2 linked regions of the Kluyveromyces lactis genome follow. The protein of the gene in region 1 purifies or fractionates together with the protein of each later gene. This does not show direct contact. Links are inferred from orthologs where the notes say so. Each region holds a gene or a part of one and is shown in the gene's direction. Other genes may lie near its edges.

Evidence for each region.
Region 2: the proteins of KOG1 (region 1) and TOR1 purify together in Schizosaccharomyces pombe (affinity purification with western blotting; 5 studies listed by BioGRID, with this or other methods). This does not show direct contact. The link is inferred for Kluyveromyces lactis from reciprocal best matches to the Schizosaccharomyces pombe genes mip1 and tor2.

Annotation. Positions count from the first base shown.
Region 1 is NC_006037.1:827,362-834,704, reverse strand, and holds the start of KOG1 (ubiquitin-binding TORC1 subunit KOG1), read left to right. Parts: upstream 1-2,920; coding exon 2,921-7,343. Other genes in the region: GPI-anchor transamidase subunit GPI16, read left to right, coding at 1-1,250; Elongator subunit IKI1, read right to left, coding at 1,388-2,275. UniProt on the Schizosaccharomyces pombe protein: Component of TORC1, which regulates multiple cellular processes to control cell growth in response to environmental signals. Tor2 is essential for growth. Nutrient limitation and environmental stress signals cause inactivation of TORC1.
Region 2 is NC_006038.1:1,225,076-1,230,970, forward strand, and holds the end of TOR1 (phosphatidylinositol kinase-related protein kinase TOR1), read left to right. Parts: coding exon 1-4,553; downstream 4,554-5,895. Other genes in the region: YAE1 (Yae1p), read right to left, coding at 4,682-5,110; RFC2 (replication factor C subunit 2), read left to right, coding at 5,322-5,895.

The DNA of each region.
Region 1 (7,343 bases):
TGAGAGCAACTTTAGCCAACGAACCGGTTTGTACTGAAAATTTGACCCCATTTGTAAAACTTTTACCAACAAGAGGGAAATCTGGTATCTCCTCTTTGTTAGATGGCCACAAGATCTTTGATTCAAATTGGCACAGTCTGTCGATTGATGTCAATACTGTTTGTGACGAATCAACTGCCAATTGCCACTTTGTTATGGAAGAATTTATCGAAACAGTGGTCAACGTACCAAATGCTTTGGCCAGAGCTGACAGACCAATTCCGAAGCCTTTACCAGGCGACGAACTTCGTTGTGACACGAATAGACCACACGACGCGTTCCAATGTTTCCCGTTACCTCAAAGCAAAGAAGTTAGTTTCAGCATCTCAAAACTATTTGGTAAGAAAATCCGTGGAGGCAGCTTGCTTGGCGAACAAAGCTCAAAAATATGTGTTCACGTTCCCTCACATTGGGACGTTATGATACAGGTCGACGAATCATATTTTGCAACCGACGACAACTGTTTCGATCTCAACAATAACAAACCACATGATGTTCGCTTGGAAACGACAGACTCTAAGAGTGTACTACCCTCCAAAAAGACTCCAATATACGTTTCCAGAGCTCTCACTGGTTATGGCCAAGACCGTGGCGGGTTAAGATCAGTATTTCGTAATCCTTCCAACGAAGCTGTGGAATTAGTTTATTTTGAATCCTTGCCTTGGTTCATGGGAGTATACTTGTCCTCCTTAGCCATAGAGAGTGATGATCCTGAACTAACTCTAGATTCAGTAGTAAAATCTACCTTCTATTCCCCGGCAAGAGATCGTGAGAGACCGACACATTTGGAAAGGGCAATGATTATCCCGCCTAACACTGCATTCGCTATATCATTCCAGTTCGATAAATCCTTGCTTAAATATGCAGAATATCCCCCTGATGCCAACCATGGTTTTGAGATCGAAGCTGCTGTTGCTGCAGTACTTACACCAGAACGTTATGAAGCCAGAACATCCTCCTTACTCTTATCTCTATCCACTCCTGATTTCAGTATGCCTTACAATGTCATCATTCTGACATCTACTGTCATGGGTCTAGCTTTTGGTACTCTATTCAACCTAATTTCTAAGCAACTGATAACCCTGGAAGAAGCTGATAAGATACTTGCATCGACAGGTCCTAGAGCAAAGCTGTTGCGCGTCAAAGCAAAGATTGTAAACATGCTACAGGGAAATAAAAACAAGATTATCAAAAGCGCTAAATATGAATAGCATTTCAGATTGTCAAAGCGTACACTTATATGAGTACATAGAACATATAGAGTAGACAGACAATTCCTATGTAATTGTGATAATCTCAACCACGAGAAAGAATTAAATGAAACTAGAATAACCCGAGACTCTAGCGATCAGAACGGATCTTCGTACGGGTCTTCTTCGTCATAATCATCATCCTTTTCAAACTCATACACAATTGCACCACCACTGTTGAAAGATTGAGCTTCAAGATATGGCAATTCCACTTGGTCTTTTGCCAGCTTCTGTTTCTCCGAAGTGTTCAAGTTGAATGTTGTTAAACCCTCAAACATTTCTGGACTTTCGTCCGTTACTGGTTCTTGTTTCTCTATCACATATTCATAATCATGTGTTTTCGAATTGATTAAGAACTTATTCTTGATAGCCCTACCGGACTTTCGCTTGTTCGTTAGAGTGATATAATATGTGGGATTGTTCAAGTTCTTGGGTATCACAAATCTACTTAAATCTGCATCCAAATCGTCCTCGTCTATGGAAGTCTTCGGAGTAACTTCTATAACCGTATTAGCAATAAATTGCAAGAGTTGGATCGCAGTTGGATAGTTCTGGAGTTCTGCTGGACGCCAGGCTGGTATCGACTGATGATATGTAGCCAATATTGTCACAAATGGCGATGCAATGGTAGATATGAATTGTGTCAAGCTTTCAGAACCGATATAATTGAATGTATCAAAGATCACTAAATGCATCTTAGGAGCTTGTTCCTGTGGCTGCGGTAGGTATGGTTGTAATGCTGCAACTAGTTGCTGGGTGGTTTTCCCCGACGCATCTATGAATTGGCGTGCATATTTCGGTCTATTTGGAGTCTCAAATGATACGAAAACGATCGGCATTTCGTCTGGTATGTTATCTAGGAATTCCTCAACCACAAATCGGCTGCTTTGTGCCATCGTATCGGTACATAGTATTAGCGAAGATTGTTCCTTCAGTGAGAACGTCCTCTTCAATAGAACTTTGGGATTATTATTAGTAGAAGCCATCTCAGAGAATAAAGAGCACGCAGTATATTCGTGATAGATCAGATACCCTGAAAGAATGCTGTAACAGTCGAAATAGATGAAAACAGGCTACTCATAAGTACTAGTTCCCCGCATGAACCTTGATCTTATCTCATCTCATCGCCTGTCAAAGTGAATATTTCACCAAGCATTTGGTATGTGAAATTGCATATTTATAACGTAGATCAAAATAAAAACACATAAAAGTATCCAATAACGGTCCCATTTAGTGCACTTGAAAGCGCAAACCAGTAAAAGTTAGATAAACTGTGGTTATTAAATATCTGGGTTACAATCGAGGGGGTATTGAAGTGGTTGATATAACTTTATTGGATATCTTCCCAACGTTACCCTGATATAAAATATTCGGGTAACAATATACTCAAAGTGTTTGCGTAAAAATACTGTAAGCTCATATACAGATACTGGTCAGTAAGTGTGGAATGATTGGAAAGATAAGGTTTTTGAAGAGCATTTAGTGGGTTTGAAGTCAATTTAGCGAGTCTTCATTGACTAGCAGTTAGGTAATTACTATTTGTACGATTTTCTGCGTTTAAATTTTGTCAGAATCGACCGGTACTGCCACTTTTATCAGAACCAGTTGTGAATAGAACCAATCCTGAAGCAATGGTTGTTTACGGCCCACAGCCTTTGACACGGCTTAATACTGAGACTAGACATGGGTTTGAAGAGCAGTATTCAAGTGAGAAACTCTTGGAGGCGCATGCTAGCAATTTTATATTTTATTACGATGATAAGAGGCATCGAACCAATGGGAATCCAGTTCCTGAGGAAGTGAAGCAAGAGGATAAGGATGGATATTACCAGCCAATTCCTGATTGGAAAATAGTTAAGGACAGGCAGAAGACAGTTGCAGCAGCATTATTACTATGTTTGAATTTGGGAGTGGATCCTCCTGATGTGACTAAGACTCAGCCATGTGCAAGACTTGAATCATGGGTTGATCCCCTTGCATTTCAGGATTCTAAGAAAGCTATTGAACAAATAGGAAAGAACTTACAGAGTCAATACGAGACGCTATCACTACGTACTCGTTATAAACAGAGCTTAGATCCCTGTGTGGAAGATGTGAAACGCTTCTGTAATTCATTGAGAAGGGCTTCGAAAGACGAAAGAATTCTGTTCCATTATAACGGTCATGGTGTACCACAACCAACACCATCTGGAGAAATCTGGGTTTTCAACCGTGGATATACTCAGTATATCCCGGTTTCATTATATGATTTACAAACTTGGCTAGGAGCCCCTTGTATATATGTCTGGGATTGCAATAGTGCTGGTAACATTGTATCCAACTTTAAAAAGTTTGTTCAAAAGAGATTGAGAGACGATAGAGAAGGCAATCATGATATGGCATCACCTTCACCTACAGAAGCATACACTGAATGTGTGCAATTAGCGTCATGTGCAAACAACGAATTATTGCCCATGAACCCTGAATTACCCGCAGATTTTTTCACCTGTTGTCTAACGAATCCAATAGAAATATCTGTTAAGGTGTTTCTAATGCAATCTCCTTTGAAAGACACCAAATATTCCGTGTTCTTCCAAGATAACGATCCTAGAAGAAAAGAGACGGGTGTGAATGAAATGCCTAACATTACGATACCGGGGAAATTGTCTGAGCGTAGGACTCCCCTTGGTGAATTGAATTGGATATTTACTGCTATTACAGATACCATTGCATGGACATCATTACCAAGAGCACTATTTAAGAAGCTATTCAGACATGACCTCATGGTCGCGGCATTATTTCGTAACTTTTTACTCGCCAAAAGAATAATGCCTTGGTACAATTGTCATCCAGTATCAGACCCAGAGTTACCAGACTCAATTGCTGATCATCCAATGTGGAGATCGTGGGATCTAGCAATCGACGAAGTATTGACCAAACTTCTGGAAAGTGCTCATGCTAATGCAAAGAATTCAAACTTCCCTGAATCACAGTTTATAAGCCAACCAAACGAAGGCAATGAAACCAATGACGGGCTGCAATCGAAAAATACTATTGGAAACCTGAGCTCCATGTCATTGGTAAACTTTAGTTCAACAGCACATACCTCCAGCGGTAATTCAGCCTCGCACCCGACTACCTCTCAACAACAACAGCAACAATTTACGAAATTTTTTGAGCAAAATTTAACCGCATTTGATTTATGGGTGAAATATGGGGCTAATTCAAGACATCCACCTGAGCAGCTCCCCATAGTACTACAGGTTCTCTTATCACAAGTCCATCGTGTTAGGACTTTGGTACTGCTATCTAGATTTCTTGATCTTGGACCATGGGCTGTATACCTATCACTTTCAATTGGGATATTCCCTTATGTTTCCAAACTGCTACAAAGTCCTGCCCATGAGTTGAAACCAATTCTAGTGTTCATTTGGGCTAGAATTTTTTCTATTGACTATAAAAATACCCAAACAGAACTTATAAAGGAGCGTGGATACCAATACTTTGTAAAGATGCTTGTACCTGAGTTTGGTGTCCCAAGAGGACATAGTGTCAGTAGTGCTGGAAGTCCCTTGACTATGAATGTACCTGCAAGTTCTTCAACACAGAGGTACCAGATGTATCAACAGCAGCAGCAGCAGCAAGCATATAATAACGCGACGTTATTATCTAACAATAATACTACAGATGAACAAAAGGCAATGGCAGCATTTGTCCTATCGTGCTTTGTTCGCGATTTCCCCCTTGGTCAAAAACACTGTTTCAGCACTGAATTAGTAAACAAGTTATGCTTCTTTATCGAAAATTCTGAAGTTCCGTTATTAAGACAGTGGTGTATCATTTTACTTGGTCAGTTATACATTCACAATCCATTGCATAAGACATTATGCCTCGAAAATGAAAATATGAATACAATCATAGAGTCTTTAAAAGATCCAATTCCAGAGATCAGATGTGCTGCGTTATTAGCAATCAAGTACTTCCTTTCTGAAGAAGACGATGTTAACATTATCTTGAAACTCCAACAAGAATTTCAGCAACAATTACAACAATTCCAAGCGCAGCTGCAGCTTTTGCAATCTCAACAAAACCAGCAGCAGCAGCAGCAACAGGGAAATCAACAGAATAGTACGCATCACATACAGCAACAATACTATCAAATTCAGCAACAATCCCAACAAGTCCAAACATCAATGAGTCAATTGCAAAGTATTAATTTACGCAACCTCAAACAATTTGAGATTAAGACCATTATCACAACCCTTTCGCTAGTCAACGATGGTAGTCCAATGGTACGGAAGGAATTGATCATCTTTTTATCTCAAGTTGTAGAAAGGTATATCGAATTTTTCACTGTAATTGCTTTCACTGAAATCAGCACAGAAATAGTTGCGCTAGAAACGAATGGCCATGAAGACGACTCAAGAAATCCTACTTCAGTTGGTCATGGTTCCATATTCAATACCGTGTGGAAAGCGTTATTAATTTCTTCTGAAGACCCATTTGTCGAAAATAGAGAACTTGCAGGAGATGTAGTAGATTACATCCTCATTAAGCTAAATGAACACAGTAAGTTGGCTGAAATGGTGAAAGAAATGGAACAATACATTTTGAAGAGAAGCGTTGTTAACGTCAAAGGTTTCACCTCCCCAAATAAATTACCAGCAATAAGAAGACCAGCAAGTTTGAGTAATGGTAAACATGACCATTACCGAAACGATACTGTCAGTGACAGGCGTGTATTCTCTATGAATTCAATTCTGAAGGCACTTGGATTTGCTAATGACCAAGATTCATACTCCGATCATGAGAGCACTAGTAGTGGGAATGGAAAAATGGCACAAGGTCTTTCTTTAATGGGGATCGAATATGGGACAAGTCCTAGGGCTTTCCCCGCAATGTATAGGAAGAGAGATACACCCTTGACTTTACCGTTGGAAAGCTGTTTCCTCAACTATTGTAGTGAATACTTCCAAGAACCACAAATGAAAAAACAGGAGGCAGATGAACCTGGTAGCATTGAATTTACCGCTCGTGAATGGAAAAGAAACAGAAATGAGGCAATCATCCAAGAAACTCAGTCACAGAAAGAACTGGCACTATATGGTGACTGGTCACACAAGATAGTGACTTTTGACAACAAGACGCAACCAAAGATACTCTTATTCACTCAATTTGACAATTATATTGCGGCAAGTGACGATAGAGACAATATTACCATATATGATTGGTCTACTCAAGAAAAATTATCTCGATTCTCTAATGGCAATCCATTCGGTACGAAAATCACCGACATGAAGTTTTTAAATGACGACGACACACCGTTGTTATTGGCAGGCTCTTCAGACGGTATTGTAAATATCTACAAAGATTTCCATGACACTGAAGATCTATTTATGATTTCTTCTTGGAGAGGATTAACAGATTTGCTATTGACTCCTAGGTCTACAGGCCTATTAACTGAATGGCAACAGAGCAGAGGTTCATTACTAGTCACTGGTGATGTGAAAATAATTCGTATCTGGGATGCGCTTACGGAGTCTGTGGAAGTGGATATACCGGCGAAATCAAGCTCTTTAATCACATCTTTAACTTCTGACCAGTTTTCTGGAAACATTTTTGTTGCAGGTTACTCCGATGGCTCTATTCGGGTGTATGACAGACGTATGGATCCCAGAGATTCAATGATCAGGCTTTGGAAAACGCCAAAAAGTGATAACAGTCCTGTTGGGTCATGGGTGAACAATATCCACCTTCAAAGAGGTGGTTACCGTGAACTAGTCAGCGGCACAAACAATGGGGTTGTTGCCCTATGGGACATCAGAGCTGATAAACCTGTTTGCACGTTCACTGATGAAGGTGAACCAGGGAAGAAGCTAGGCAGTACCATGACAAGTATGCAAGTACACGAACACGCTTCAATTATAGCAACTGGGACGAAAGAAATCAAATTATGGACAACATCTGGAGATTTGTTACGCACCTTTAAGAATCACGGTTCCTCTCATTCAGGACCAATTAGTGGGATGACTACTGGTGCAAGATCATCGCCTTTCATTTCCACTATGGCATTCC
Region 2 (5,895 bases), on another chromosome or scaffold:
AGACAATGGGGCTTCGCTGTGTCATATTTTTGAAACAGATCATTCCTGGATTTATACTGGTTATGCACACATGTCCACCTTCACTTCTTGAGCTCTACTTCCAACAGCTCAGTGTTTTGATTTCAATTGTGAAACAACACATCAGACTACATGTGTCTGAAATTGTGGAAGTAATCTCAGAATTCTTCCCTATCGTAAAGCTACAATTAACTATCATCTCGGTTATCGAATCACTATCAAGAGCCTTAGAAGGAGAATTCAATCCTTATTTACCTAATATACTATCTTTGTTTTTGGATGTTTTGGAAAAAGACCAGTCGAATAAGAAGGTTGTCTCAATTAGAATATTGAAGTCATTGGTAGTTTTTGGACCACATCTAGAGGAATATGCTCACCTCGTACTGCCAACTATCATAAAACTATCGGAGTTTAGCTCAGGAAATTTGAAGAAGGCCGCAATCATTACTATAGGACGTCTATCGAAAAATGTCAATCCACTAGAAATGTCGTCTAGGATTGTGCAAGCCCTAGTAAGAGTCTTAAATACATCAGAACTCGAGTACGTGAAAGCAACAATGAACACATTAAGTTTACTTCTTTTACAACTCAATATTGATTTTACTGTATTCATTCCAGTTATCAATAAAACTTTAGTCAAACAGAACATTCAGCACACAATATACGACCGTTTGGTTGCCAAACTTTTGAATAATGAGCCACTACCGACCAAAATTATTATTGATAAAGATTTCGATTTACCTAATAAAGAAATGGACGATGTAAAGGTAGCTTCCAAGAAGCTTCCTGTCAACCAACTTGTGCTAAAAAATGCCTGGGATTGTAGTCAACAAAGAACAAAGGAGGACTGGCAAGAGTGGATTAGACGGCTATCAATTTCTTTACTCAAAGAATCATCTTCTCATGCTTTACGTGCCTGCTCCGGATTGGCTGGTATCTACTATCCATTAGCTAGAGAATTATTCAACGCCTCATTTGCAAGTTGTTGGGGTGAACTTTACACGCAATATCAAGAGGATTTGGTTCAGTCTTTGTGCTCTGCTTTATCCTCACCAAACAATCCTCCTGAAATCCACCAGACATTATTAAATTTGGTTGAATTCATGGAGCATGACGACAAACCGCTACCAATTTCTATATCAACTCTTGGCGAATACGCTCAGCGTTGTCATGCATATGCAAAAGCTTTACATTATAAAGAACTGGAGTTCATTGAAGAGCCAACAACTTCAACTATCGAGTCCTTAATCAGTATCAATAATCAATTACACCAAACAGATGCAGCAATCGGTATTTTGAAGCATGCGCAGCAACACCACGATCTACAATTGAAGGAAACTTGGTACGAAAAGTTACAAAGATGGGATGACGCTTTGACTGCGTATAATAAGCGTGAGGCTGCTGGTGAAGATTCGATAGAAGTTACAATTGGTAAAATGAGATCATTACACGCCTTAGGTGACTGGGATCAATTGTCTGAACTTGCAGCAGACAAGTGGGCTTCGTCAAAGATAGACATTAAGAGAGCAATCGCTCCTCTGGCTGCGGGTGCTGCGTGGGGTTTAGCTCAATGGGATCGAATCGAGCAGTACATTGAGGTGATGAAACCACAATCTCCAGATAAGGCCTTCTTTGCTGCCGTTCTTTGTCTACATCGCAACAATTTCGATAAAGCACAAGAACAAATCTTTGCTGCCAGAGATCTTCTTGTTACTGAAATGTCTGCCTTGGTGAACGAAAGTTACAACCGTGCTTATGGTGTTGTGGTAAGAACTCAAATGGTCGCGGAATTAGAAGAAATAATTCAGTATAAAAATTTACCACAGGGTTCCGATAGACGGGCTATGATACGGAAGACATGGAACAAAAGATTGTTAGGTTGTCAAAAGAATGTTGATGTCTGGCAAAGAATTCTAAAGGTACGGTCACTAGTTATAAAGCCTAAACAAGATATGAAAGTATGGATTAAATTTGCTAATCTTTGTAGGAAGTCCGGACGGTTAGGTCTAGCTCAGAAGACATTGAACACTCTTCTGGAAGAGAGTAGTGATCCAAAGAATCCAAATACTGCTCGTGCACCTCCACCAGTTGTCTACGCCCAATTGAAATACATGTGGGCTACAGGTTCTCAAAAGGAAGCACTCAACCATTTAATAAGCTTTACTTCTCGTATGGCACACGATCTAGGCCTCGATCCCAGTAACATGATAGCTCAAAGTGTCCCACAGAATAGCAGCGTATCTCAGCATCACATTGAAGACTATACGAAGTTACTTGCTCGTTGTTTCTTAAAGCAAGGTGAATGGAGAGTCTCACTACAGCCAAATTGGCGCCTGGAAAATCCTGATGCTATCCTAGGTTCCTATTTACTAGCTACTCACTTTGATAAGTCGTGGTATAAAGCTTGGCATAATTGGGCATTGGCAAACTTCGAGGTCACTTCGTCGCTTACCCAGCGAATCAAAGATGACAAAGTTCTAACACTTGAAGACGCCTCTACGGAGTTTACCAATGGTGCCGTGGCAGGGCTTGGCGCGAATGAAAATTTCCCTCCAGAACTGGTCCAACGTCATGTCGTGCCAGCCATCAAAGGTTTTTTCCGTTCTATTGCTCTTTCCCAATCGAGTTCTTTACAGGATACGTTAAGATTACTCACTTTGTGGTTCAAATTCGGTGGTATTCCAGAAGCTGCACAAGCTATGCATGAAGGCTTTGGATTGATCAAGATCGATAACTGGTTAGAAGTTATCCCACAATTGATCTCCCGAATTCATCAACCAAATCAAACCGTTAGTAGATCTTTACTATCTTTGCTAGCTGATTTGGGTAAAGCCCATCCACAGGCATTAGTGTATCCATTGACAGTTGCCATTAAATCTGATTCGGTCTCAAGACAGAGGGCAGCTTTGTCCATCATAGATAAGATGAGAATGCACAGTCCTAAACTTGTCGATCAAGCAGAATTAGTAAGTGACGAATTGATCAGAGTCGCTGTTTTGTGGCACGAACTTTGGTACGAAGGTCTTGAAGATGCTAGTAGACAATTCTTTGGTGAACATAACACGGAAAAGATGTTTGCCACTTTGGAGCCATTGCATGAGATGCTAAAACGTGGTCCTGAAACCTTGCGTGAGATTTCGTTCCAAAATTCGTTTGGTAGGGATTTGAACGATGCCCACGAGTGGGTAATGAACTACAAGAGAACAAAAGATATCAACAACCTTAACCAAGCTTGGGATATCTATTATAATGTCTTCCGTCGTATTAGCAGGAAACTCCCTCAATTACAGACGTTGGATCTCCAACATGTTTCACCAAAACTAGCTGCTGCGAAAGATTTAGAACTTGCTGTTCCAGGTACATATCATGCCGGAAAACCTGTCATTAGAATTACCCATTTCGAGCCAATATTTACTGTTATTTCATCCAAACAGCGTCCTCGTAGGCTATCTATCAAGGGTAGCGATGGTAAAGACTATCAATATATTGTCAAGGGCCATGAAGATATCAGACAAGATAATTTGGTCATGCAATTGTTTGGTTTGGTTAATACTTTATTACAGAATAACCCCGAGAGTTTCCAAAGGCATTTGAACATTCAACAATACCCTGCTATCCCATTATCACCTAAATCCGGTCTTTTGGGATGGGTTCCAAATAGTGATACATTCCATGTCTTGATCAGAGAACATCGTGAAGCAAGCAAAGTTCCACTAAATATAGAACACAGAATAATGCTCCAAATGGCTCCTGATTATGATAACCTAACTCTATTGCAAAAAGTGGAAGTTTTCACTTATGCTCTTGATAACACCAAGGGCCAGGACTTGTATAAGGTTCTATGGTTAAAGAGTCGTTCATCAGAATCATGGCTCGAACGTCGTACAACTTACACAAGATCGTTAGCCGTCATGTCAATGGTAGGATATATTTTAGGTTTAGGTGATCGTCATCCAAGTAATTTGATGTTGGACCGTGTTACTGGTAAAGTTGTCCACATTGATTTCGGTGACTGTTTCGAAGCTGCAATTCTCAGAGAGAAATACCCAGAAAAGGTACCATTCAGATTAACAAGAATGTTAACGTACGCAATGGAAGTCAGTGGTATTGAAGGTAGTTTCCGTATCACCTGTGAGAACGTAATGATGGTCCTAAGGGATAATAAGGAGTCCTTGATGGCTATTTTGGAAGCCTTTGCATACGATCCATTAATCAACTGGGGTTTCGATCTACCGACTCAAGCCGTGATGGAACAGACGGGAATAGATCTACCTCTTGCAAATCCAAGTGAGTTACTAAGAAAGGGCGTCATCACCGTTGAAGATGCGGCCAAGATGGAACTACAACAAAAGGCAGAAGTCCGCAACGCAAGAGCCACTCTTGTTCTCAAAAGAATCGCTGATAAACTTACTGGTAACGATTTCCCAAGGTATCAAGAACTATCTGTGCCTGATCAAGTCGACAAGTTGATCCAGCAAGCTACATCAGTAGAAAACCTATGTCAACATTACATCGGCTGGTGTTCGTTCTGGTGATACCTAAACAAAAAGAACATCGCTAAAAGCATTATAGACTATTGAATCATTATATCTTCTTATACACTATGTATTTGTAAGAAGGTGCGTATACCTGTCATTATTTATCAAAATAAAAATCATACTCATCAAGAATACTTACCTTCATAATCCAATACCCGAGCTTGCCATTTGGATAGGAGTACCTTCAATGAATCTAAAGGTTGTAATTCTTCATCGAAGTGTCTAGCGGACAACACCCTGTTAATCCGTAGTTCGTCTTGAGCTTGCTTTAAGTCTGCAGCAACTTGAGGGTCTGCATTCCCATAAAGCGTGGTAAATAGCCTCAATTTACCCACAATTTCCCCTATTTGAAACCCATACTTAGCACCCAAGGGGAAGGTATCGTCAAACCCAGCTTGCAAGTTTTCCTCCTTCGCTGACGAAATACCATCTAAATACCCTCTTTTCGAATGTATTTGTTGAAGTTTCTTCACTTCTAGCGACTCTTGAGGACCGGTACTGGCCTCATTATCAGAGCCCCATATATTTTCCTCATCTGTCATCTCCACGGTCATTGGTCGTGAGGTTATGATCAATATCTTGGTCCTCTAGTGGACACCTCTTTATCATCTCATCGTGTACTCTGTATTTAATAAGCTTTCAACATTGAAAAATTCCCAGCTGAACCTTTAACGACTTTGAATGATAAGATCTTTTGGATTATAAAATATGAGAAATAAAGGTTTGTAAAGGGCCATTGAGAGCTCAAGAAGGTGTTGAGGCGCGATGTCTAGTGGAACGATATTCAAGAAACAGAAGTTGAACCCATCAGATGGTAAAGGTCAAGCAAAACCATGGGTTGAAAAGTATAGACCAAGGAAATTAGATGATGTTGCTGCTCAGGATCATGCCGTTACCGTCTTGAAAAGGACTTTACAGACTGCAAATTTGCCACATATGTTGTTTTATGGTCCTCCTGGTACTGGTAAGACTTCTACTATTCTTGCTTTGACGAAAGAGTTGTACGGTCCCCATTTATCGAACAGCAGAGTTCTAGAATTAAACGCGTCCGATGAACGTGGTATTTCGATCGTCAGAGAGAAAGTGAAGAACTTTGCTAGGCTCACTGTGTCTAAGCCATCAGAATCAGACCTTGCGAATTATCCATGTCCACCATACAAAATTATCATTCTTGATGAAGCCGATTCTATGACTGCTGACGCACAAAGTGCGCTGCGTAGAACCATGGAAACCTATTCTGGTGTCACTAGATTCTGTTTGATCTGTAATTACGTTACTAGAATCATTGATCCCTTGGCTTCAAGGTGTTCCAAATTCAGATTCAAAGCGTTGGATTCAT